2 linked regions of the Sus scrofa genome follow. The protein of the gene in region 1 purifies or fractionates together with the protein of each later gene. This does not show direct contact. Links are inferred from orthologs where the notes say so. Each region holds a gene or a part of one and is shown on either strand. Other genes may lie near its edges.

The links. The genes of interacting proteins can lie anywhere in the genome.
Region 2: the proteins of WASF2 (region 1) and BRK1 purify together in Homo sapiens (co-immunoprecipitation; 3 studies listed by BioGRID and IntAct, with this or other methods). This does not show direct contact. The link is inferred for Sus scrofa from reciprocal best matches to the Homo sapiens genes WASF2 and BRK1.

Annotation. Positions count from the first base shown.
Region 1 is NC_010448.4:84,694,629-84,698,817, reverse strand, and holds the start of WASF2 (wiskott-Aldrich syndrome protein family member 2), read left to right. Parts: upstream 1-1,389; 5' UTR 1,390-1,573; intron 1,574-4,189. UniProt on the Homo sapiens protein: Downstream effector molecule involved in the transmission of signals from tyrosine kinase receptors and small GTPases to the actin cytoskeleton. Promotes formation of actin filaments. Part of the WAVE complex that regulates lamellipodia formation.
Region 2 is NC_010455.5:66,314,009-66,318,237, forward strand, and holds the start of BRK1 (protein BRICK1), read left to right. Parts: upstream 1-1,429; 5' UTR 1,430-1,505; coding exon 1,506-1,707; intron 1,708-4,229. UniProt on the Homo sapiens protein: Involved in regulation of actin and microtubule organization. Part of a WAVE complex that activates the Arp2/3 complex. As component of the WAVE1 complex, required for BDNF-NTRK2 endocytic trafficking and signaling from early endosomes.

The DNA of each region.
Region 1 (4,189 bases):
CAAATCCGAGCTGCAGCCACTGCCACAGCCATAGCCACAGCAACACGGGATCCAAGCTGCATCTGCGGCCTACACCACAGCTCATGACAACACCGGATCCTTAACCCACTAAGTGAAGCTAAGGATTGAACCTTCATCCTCATGGATCCTAGTCAGGTTCGTTAATCACTAAGCCACAAAGGGAACTCCCTTTGTTTGGGATTCTGCCTTAGCTGACCCATCTGTCATCTCTTTCATCCCTGGCTCACTTCCTGCTTCTGAGGACCCCAGAAACAGCTCATGTGCACCCCTAGGATCACTTTTCCCAGGAACCTTGGTGATTAACAATAGCTGGGGGGTGGACTGTGCCTAAGTCTATGGTAGCCAGAGAGATGGGAGACTGGCCAGGCATCTTCAAGACCCTCCCTGGAATGCTACGATGTTGGGGAGGGAAGTCTTTTTCAGGAGACACCAGTCCCAGAAGGGAGAAATACATGAATGGAAGCCAAAAGATACAGGTTTGAGTCCCAAGGTCGTTTCATATCCTCTGGGTGACTCAGGGTAAGTCATGGAGTTTTCCGTTTTCACTTCTGCAAACCGAGGACAGTATCTGCCTTACACAGTTGCTCCAGAATACCTAAATGAGGTTCCTTTGCTAACCTGTTAATTTGTCATCTCGATATCCAGCCAGCAACCTTTTATAATCGATAAGACACACATATTCCCATTCATGCATGAATCCTTAACAAGCACTCTAGAACACGAGGCAGACATGACTACTCCTATTTTGCGGAAGGACAAACTGAGACCCAGATAAGTTCAGAGTTGTCTGAGGTAACAGAGTGAGGTGGCGGCTGAACCAGGGTCCAACTCACCTGACCCTGGCCTTTCAGAACCAGCTCCCAGTCACAGGACCCCGGGCCTCGCCCCGGATGAATCCCTTAGCAGCGGGCTGGAGTCTATGACTCACTCTCCCCACCCTTTTTTCTGCCCCGCGGGAGACCCGGAGGAAAGTGTCAAAAATATCTGCAACTTGAGGGGTGGCTACAGAAAGTTCATGGGCCTGGCCCCTTCCTTCCACCAGAGATTCTGGCTCTTTGAACTCTAACAAAGAGGATTAGCCATTTGATACACTTTTACAAGGTTTTACATTTTCTTAGGTGGGACTCTCCTACTTCGAATTTAGGAATTTTTTTAAGTTTAAAATCCACCCCCACTTCATTTGGTTTGCCCCTTGCTGTTTACTCCGATTGCGGAAGTAGCTCGGGTGGAGCTCCCGGGACTGTACTATTGAGTACGTCGTTTGCGTAGCTATTTAACTGACATTCCACTCGGGCCAATGGAATACCCGGAAGCCCCCGGCGGGTGGGGCAGAGAACCAATCAGGGCGGTTGGCGGGGTGTGGCCGCATCCCAGGGCGGGGAATCGCGTAATGGCGGACGCGTGCCGGGTGATCGCGGCTGGGGGCGTAGCGCGCTGAGGGGGGGGGTCTGGCTGTGTGGCAGCCGGCGGGGCGGCCTGCGAGAGCAGACCCCGTGCAGAGAAAGGCGGCCGGCCAGCCCCTCCGTCTCTGAGGGCGACCGCACGATACAAGGTGAGCAACAAGTCCCTGCGGGCGGGCCCGGCCCAGAGGCGCCGGGCCGACCTGGCCGCCCCTCCCAAGCCGCTCTGTGTCTCGGGGGAGTGGGTGCCGCGCCTCCTGTCGCGGACCGGCAGAGGCCGGGGGAGCGGCAACGCGGGGTAGTGTCTTGCCGTACACTCCTCCCTCCCCCAGGAGGAGGTGTCCCGGAGATCCCCTCGTGGGCTTGGAGGGGCCTGTGAAGCTGAGAAGTGCCCCAAGCTGACTTGGCTCTGCCACCAACTCGTTGTATGACCTTGGGCAAGTCACTTCCCTCTCTGGGCCTCATTTCCCCCATTTGTAAAGCGAAGCCTTTGCAGGCAGATGTGCAAGAGTTGGATCCCAGACATTGTCCGAGATATTGGGCAAGTTCTTCCCCAGGTGGAGCCTCAGTTTCCATCTCAGGGCCCTGAAGGCACTGAGGTGCTTTTTGAGATTTTAGGCCTAAGTTGCAGAGTGGCAGGGAGGTGTGTGTGTGTGTGTGTGTGTGTCTGTCTGTCTGTCTACAGGATGGTCTGCAGAGTAAGGAGAAGAGTTGGCTCCGGGGGCCCATCCAGGAAGGGTCTGGGTAAACCCAGATTATAGTGGGGTGGAGTGTGCTTGTCTTGGTCCTCCAGGATCCTAGAGCCTTTGAGATGGGGAAGTTTTATATAGGTCTCCATAGAGACAGAAGAGGAAGGAATCCTTGGAGCCTCTTGGGGTTTTGATTGAAATTTAGGCCCAAAAGAGTTCAGGTGGACTAGGAGGAGGAAGGGGAACATTTATGGTGCTCCTACTATGTGTCATACCTGGTTTAGGCATATGTTCTTATTTAATTTTTACAGCTACCCTTGAGAATTTGCACATAAGGAAACTTAAATTTCAGAGGAGTTAAGTAACTTGCCCAAGGTCACACAGTAAAGTGCAATGCTTACCAACACGAAGGTGTTTCCTTTGAGAATCATTGAGCCAGGGAGAATTCACTGTCCACTTAAAGGAAGTTTGCTTTGTCACACATTGGGGGAGAGGTCGGGTCCTAGACACTTGAACTGACTTTTGAAAAAAAAATTCATTTTACTGAAGTATAGTTGAGTTACTTGAATTCTGGCATGGGGACAGGCTGGGTCTTGATCTCTAGACAGTAAATTGTAACCCTTTGTTCAGCCTGTGAGTTGAAAAGGACCATTTCTAAATTGTAAAAGTCACATTGAAGTGTGTCAGAACCTCAGCAAACTCAGTTTGAATCCTTGCTGTGTGGCCTGTACAAGAAAGTTCACCAACTATTGGTGCATAGACTTGATTCTCAATTCAGAGTTGATGCCAGGCTAGTAACTTTTTCTTTTCCCCAAAAAGGCCACGTTTTCCTGGGATGGATGAAATTCCGTATTTGTTAGTGCAAATTTCTTTTGATTGCCAGGGTGAAAGTTTCAGTAGCCGGACTCTTGATTAAGTGAAATGCTCCTTTATTTGTGCTTCCTGTTATTTGACTTCTAGATGATGAAAATTGTGGACCTAGAGTGGGTACTATAAATTGCAGCCCGAAATTTTTCCAAGCCTCAGAGCTTTTGGTTAATCAAAATGGTAGGACGGCAGTGTGTATTGTACTCATATGTCAGTGGTAGGGAAGAAAATTGGAAGAGGAAGTTGCTGAGAAAGAGGGCGTTTCTTAGCAGTGGAGCCAATATGTATTTCTTTGTTTGAAATTCTAAAACCAGAAAAGCAGCAACTGAAGGAGGAAGGAAGGAAAGAACTCTGAAACTCCTCTTCCCGTTGAAATACCTTTAGACTGTCCCTGTTACTGTCCCGTCTGAGGCTCTGCTTTCATGGAAAAAGTCAATTGTAATTTGTTCAATGTTCAGAAGTTGTATTCTAGAATGAAAGAATTTTAAATCTTAAACCGTCTGATTTAATGAAAAAAAATCAGAACACCTTAGTGAATACGTTACTTATCAGTAGATGATTCTTTTTCTCAACATAATTACCAGTTGTGGTCTTTGGGTTTCTTTTTTTAAAAAACTGATTTAAATTAGTGAATTGCAGGAGTTCCCCTGTGGCTCAGCTGTAATGAACCTGACTAGTATCCACGAGGACGCAGGTTCAATCCCTGGCCTCTCTCAGTGGGTTAAGGATCCGATGTTGCCGTGAGCTGTGGTGTAGGTTGCAGACGCGACTCGGATCCCATGTTGCTGTGGCTGTGGTGTGGGTCAGCAGCTACAGCTCCAATTCAACCCCTAGCCTGAACTTCCATATGCCTTGGGTGAGGCCATAAAAAGGCAACAACAACAAAATGAGTGGATTTCAACCTAAGAGGAATTGATCTAGGTATTGGATGATGCAGATATCACCATCACTTGAAAAACATGTAATGGTGTGTTCGGTTTTTGACATTTGTTAGAAGTCTTTATAATGCTTTATTTTTATGGGATTGTCTGTGTTAATAGTTAAGACATTGAATTTATTGCTTGTGAAAATCTACCCATTCAGTCTCTGTATTAGTTATATTTTCTGTATAAGATTTAATCTTAATTACTGTACCAGCCTACAGTACCTTGGGATCAAAATAAAAAAGTTCTTGAGGCCAAATGTGCTTCTGAATTGAGAATTTTTTGGATT
Region 2 (4,229 bases), on another chromosome or scaffold:
TGACAGAACTCTGTAAACCAGCTATAATGGAAAAAATATCATTATATAAAATAAAGACAGTTCCCATCGTGGCGCAGTGGTTAACGAATCCGACTAGGAACCATGAGGTTGCGGCTTCGGTTCTTGGCCTCGCTCAGTGGGTTAACAATCCGGTGTTGCTGTGAGCTGTGGTGTAGGTTGCAGACGCCGCTCGGATCCCATGTTGCTGTGGCACTGGCGTAGGCTGGCAGCTACAGCTCGGATTCGACCGCTAGCCTCGTGAACCTCCATATGCCGTGGGAGCGACCCAAGAAATGGCAGAAAGACTAAATAAATAAAGACAAAATATTTTTTAAAATTGTTAAAAAAGAAAAAGAAAAAGGAATTCCCATCGTGGCACATTAGAAACGAATCCGACTAGGAACCATGAAGTTTCGGGTTAGATCCCTGGCCTTGCTCACCGGGTCAAGGATCCATTGTTGCCGTGAGCTGTGGTGTAGGTTTGCAGACGCTGCTTTGATCTGGCATTGCTGTGGCATAGGCTGGCAGCTACAGCTCTGATTAGACCCCCTAGTCTGGAAACCTCCATATGCCAGGGGTGCGGGCTCCCCCACCAAAAAAAAAGAAAAGAAAAAATTTTGTATTTTGTTTTCTTCTTCACTTTAGCATGTGTGTTCTGTTGCCATAATTGACATTTAAATGACCTCATAATATTGCTCTAAGTGACTATACTGATATTTAGCCATTCCCCAACAGTTGAGATTTGTTTTTTTAAATGAATGATGCCTTTAAGAACATTGTGCTCAAAGTGTTTTCTCTTTTCCAATGAGCTCTTCTTTTTTGTCTTTTTTGGGCCGCATCCCAAGGCATGTGGACTTCCCAGGCTAGGGGTCGAATCAAAGCTGTAAGCTGCCAGCCTGGACCACAGCCATCAGATCAAAGACTCTGCAGCTCTATCTAACCCACTGAGCTAGTGCCAGGGATGGAATCCACGTCATGGATACTAGTCATGTTCCTTACGGCTGAGCCACAACGGGAACTCCACCAATGACTTTATTAAATTTCCTTCTGAATAGATCTTGCCAGCTTACAGTATGACCAGCTATTTACTAATTTTCCCATTTCCCTTCAGCCAGCCTCTTCATCTCTAAGTATTATAGTTTAAAAAAATAACCTTTTGTTCATTTGATAAATGCAAGGTGGGCATCATGTGTTGTTAAAAGGCATTTTTGAAATGACTTGTGTTTTCTGTGGTTTAATTGGCATTGCCCAGCTTATTGTGGTCAGAGATCTCAGTTTGGAGCGCCTGAAGTTAGGGTTGATGCGGGCTCACGCGCCCCCTAACGACCAAAACTGCCAGTGACTGAGGGGGGACGGGGGGGGCTCTGAGTGCGTGCGCACTCCATTCTCCAAGCCGGTTTTGCGGCCACCGTTTTCCGGGGTGTGGGAGAAGAGCGAAGACGCTGGCGGGGACTTGACAATGCGCAGGCGCATCACGAAGCCTGTGGATTTGTGGCCAACCGAGCATGGGCGTGGGCTGGCTGCGTCGGCGCACTGGAGGCCTGGAGGGTCGAGGCGCGTGCGCAGTCGCGCTTCCTTCAGCTGCAGCCATGGCAGGCCAAGAGGATCCCGTGCAGCGGGAGATTCACCAGGATTGGGCGAACCGGGAGTACATTGAAGTCATCACCAGCAGCATCAAGAAAATCGCAGACTTTCTCAACTCGTTTGGTCAGCGGGCGAGCAGGGGGAGGCAGGGAGGAGGGGGGCCCGCCTAGGGAGGGCGCTGAGAAGCTTTGACGCGGGTTCTGGGAGCCGTGGGCTCCTGCTGGTGTTTGCTTCCGCCTTCAGGCCGCACTTTTCCCCTCTCGCTCTGACCCCCGGCCTCCACTGATCATTCCCTGTGGGGTTATCCTGCCCCACGCTGAGCTCATCGGCTTCATTGCCTTCCCCCCGCATCCAGTAACAAGTCCGTTCCTTTCCCGGACGTGTCAGACAGCCCCATCCATCGCCTGAATCTTTCCTTCTCTTCAGGCGTCTCCCTTCTTTTGTGCTTCGTTTCAGTCGTCACTTGGTGCTCAGAGAGCGCTGTCCAGAAGCCCTTTAGCGTCGAGCCTGTTAGTCGCCCCTCCTGTCGGTCCTTTCCTGTCTCGGCGTGTGCTGTGCAGAGTGGTAGATGAGAGCGGAGGAGGGCCCACATCGCGTCCGGCCAGGGACATCTCTGCATCGCTAGTATCTAGACCACAGTGGGTGTTGTCTGCTTCTAGCAAAATCTTTCCTTGGCATGACCTGTCCGTGACAGTCTTAAAGTTCCTTCCGCGTTGTTTCCTATCCTTGTGCTACACCCTGCAGCAGAGACTCCTGACTCTTGTTCTCCGAGTGTTACTTTGAAAGAACCGGGCACTGGGTAAACTTTTTATGTCATCACAAGGTGTGGGGATGACATCTAGTGATCTTTTTCCAGTTGTGCTTCTGGCCCACTAATTCAGCAACATTAAGCGATTAAGTAGGGGAAACTGATAAATTTAAAAAGACTTAAAAAGGAATTATTTTCTTGCTAAGAGAAGTCCAAAGGAGTGTATAAAGGTGACAGCAAGAGATTTGTCCAAAAGCATCAGCAAGACAAACTAGATCTGAGTACAAGGCTCTTTCTCAGTCTCTGTGGGGAAGACAGAATAAGAACCATTTCCTACAATTAAGTGATTTCTATTTTGAAGATGAAATAATGACATCAGAGCAAAGCAGAACATTGTTTCTGATTTAATATATTTACATATAGGAATTCCCCTTGTTGCTCGGCAGTAACAAACCTGACTAGTATCCATGAGGACCTGTGTTTGATTCTTGGCCACACTCAGTAATTTAAAGATCTGTGTTGCAGGAGCTGTAGTGTAGGGTGCAGAGGTGGCTGGGATTCTGCATTCCTCTGGCTGTGGTGTAGGCCAGCAGCTACAGCTCCGATTCAACCCCTAGCCTTGGAACTTCCATATGCCTTGGGTTTGGCCCTGAAAAGACAAATATATACATGGTCTTTTACATTTGTATGTAAATACACATTATTTATTTATAATAAGCTTATAAAATATATAAATATATATACTTGCATACAAATGTGTAGGACTATAACCTTTTTAAAAAATGTTTAAAATTCTTATAGCCATACCCATGGCATATGGAAATTTCTGGGCCAGGGATTGAATTCAAGCCACAGCTGCAGCAACAACAGATCTTTTAACCCAGTGCCCTGGGCTGGAGATTGAACCCACACCTCTGCAGTGACCAGAGCCACTACAGTCGGATTCTTAACCCACTGCACCACTGCAGGACCTCTAGAACTATAATCTTGATATGTTTTGGGATGGTGGAGTCCTCATTCAGGGACTGGGGGAAAGGTTGTATTAGTGAGCAGTAAGAATAGTATAAATTATATGCCAGTGATACATATTCATACATATTACTTGCTATAGAAGTTGTGATAGGAATGGTAGTTAAGAAATTATAGATCTCTGGGAGTTCCCATCATGGCTCAGTGGTAATGAACCTGACTAGTATCCATGAGGACTCTCACTGATTCCTGGCCTTGCTCAGTGGTTTAAGGATCTGGCGTTGCAATGAGCTGTGATGTAGGTCTTAGATGCAGCTCGGGTCCCTTGTTGCTGTGGTATAGGCCGGCAGCTGAAGCTCTGATTCAGCCCTTAGCCTTCCATATGCCATGGGAGCAGCCTTAAAAATACAAAAAAAAAAAAAGAAAGAAAGGAAATTATAGATCCCTGGAAGTTCCTGTGTGGTGCAGCAGGTTAAAGAGGCACAAGCCACAACTGTGACACAGGCTGCAACTGTGGCACAGTTCAGTCCTTGGTCTGGGAACTTCCACATGCCGAGGGTGTAGCAAAAAAAAAAGCAGCAGCAGAAAAAGAAGAAATAGAAATTAGTATCCATGAGGATTCAGGTTCGCCCTTGCTGTGGGCTGTGGTGTAAGTCACAGACTCGGCTCTGATCCCAAGTTGCTGTGGCTGTGGTGTAGGCTGGCAGTTACAGGTCCATTTTGACCTGGAACTTCCATATGCCATGAGTACAGCCCTAAAAAGCAAAATAAATAAATAAGTTCCTGGGCCAGGGATTAAACCTCAACAGTGACAACCTTTACCTGTTGAGCCATGGACCTCCCTCAAGTTTTTTCTGTCTTTTTTTTTCTTTTTTTTTTTTTAGCGCTGCCATATGGAAGTTCCTAGGGGTCGAATTGGAGCTGCATC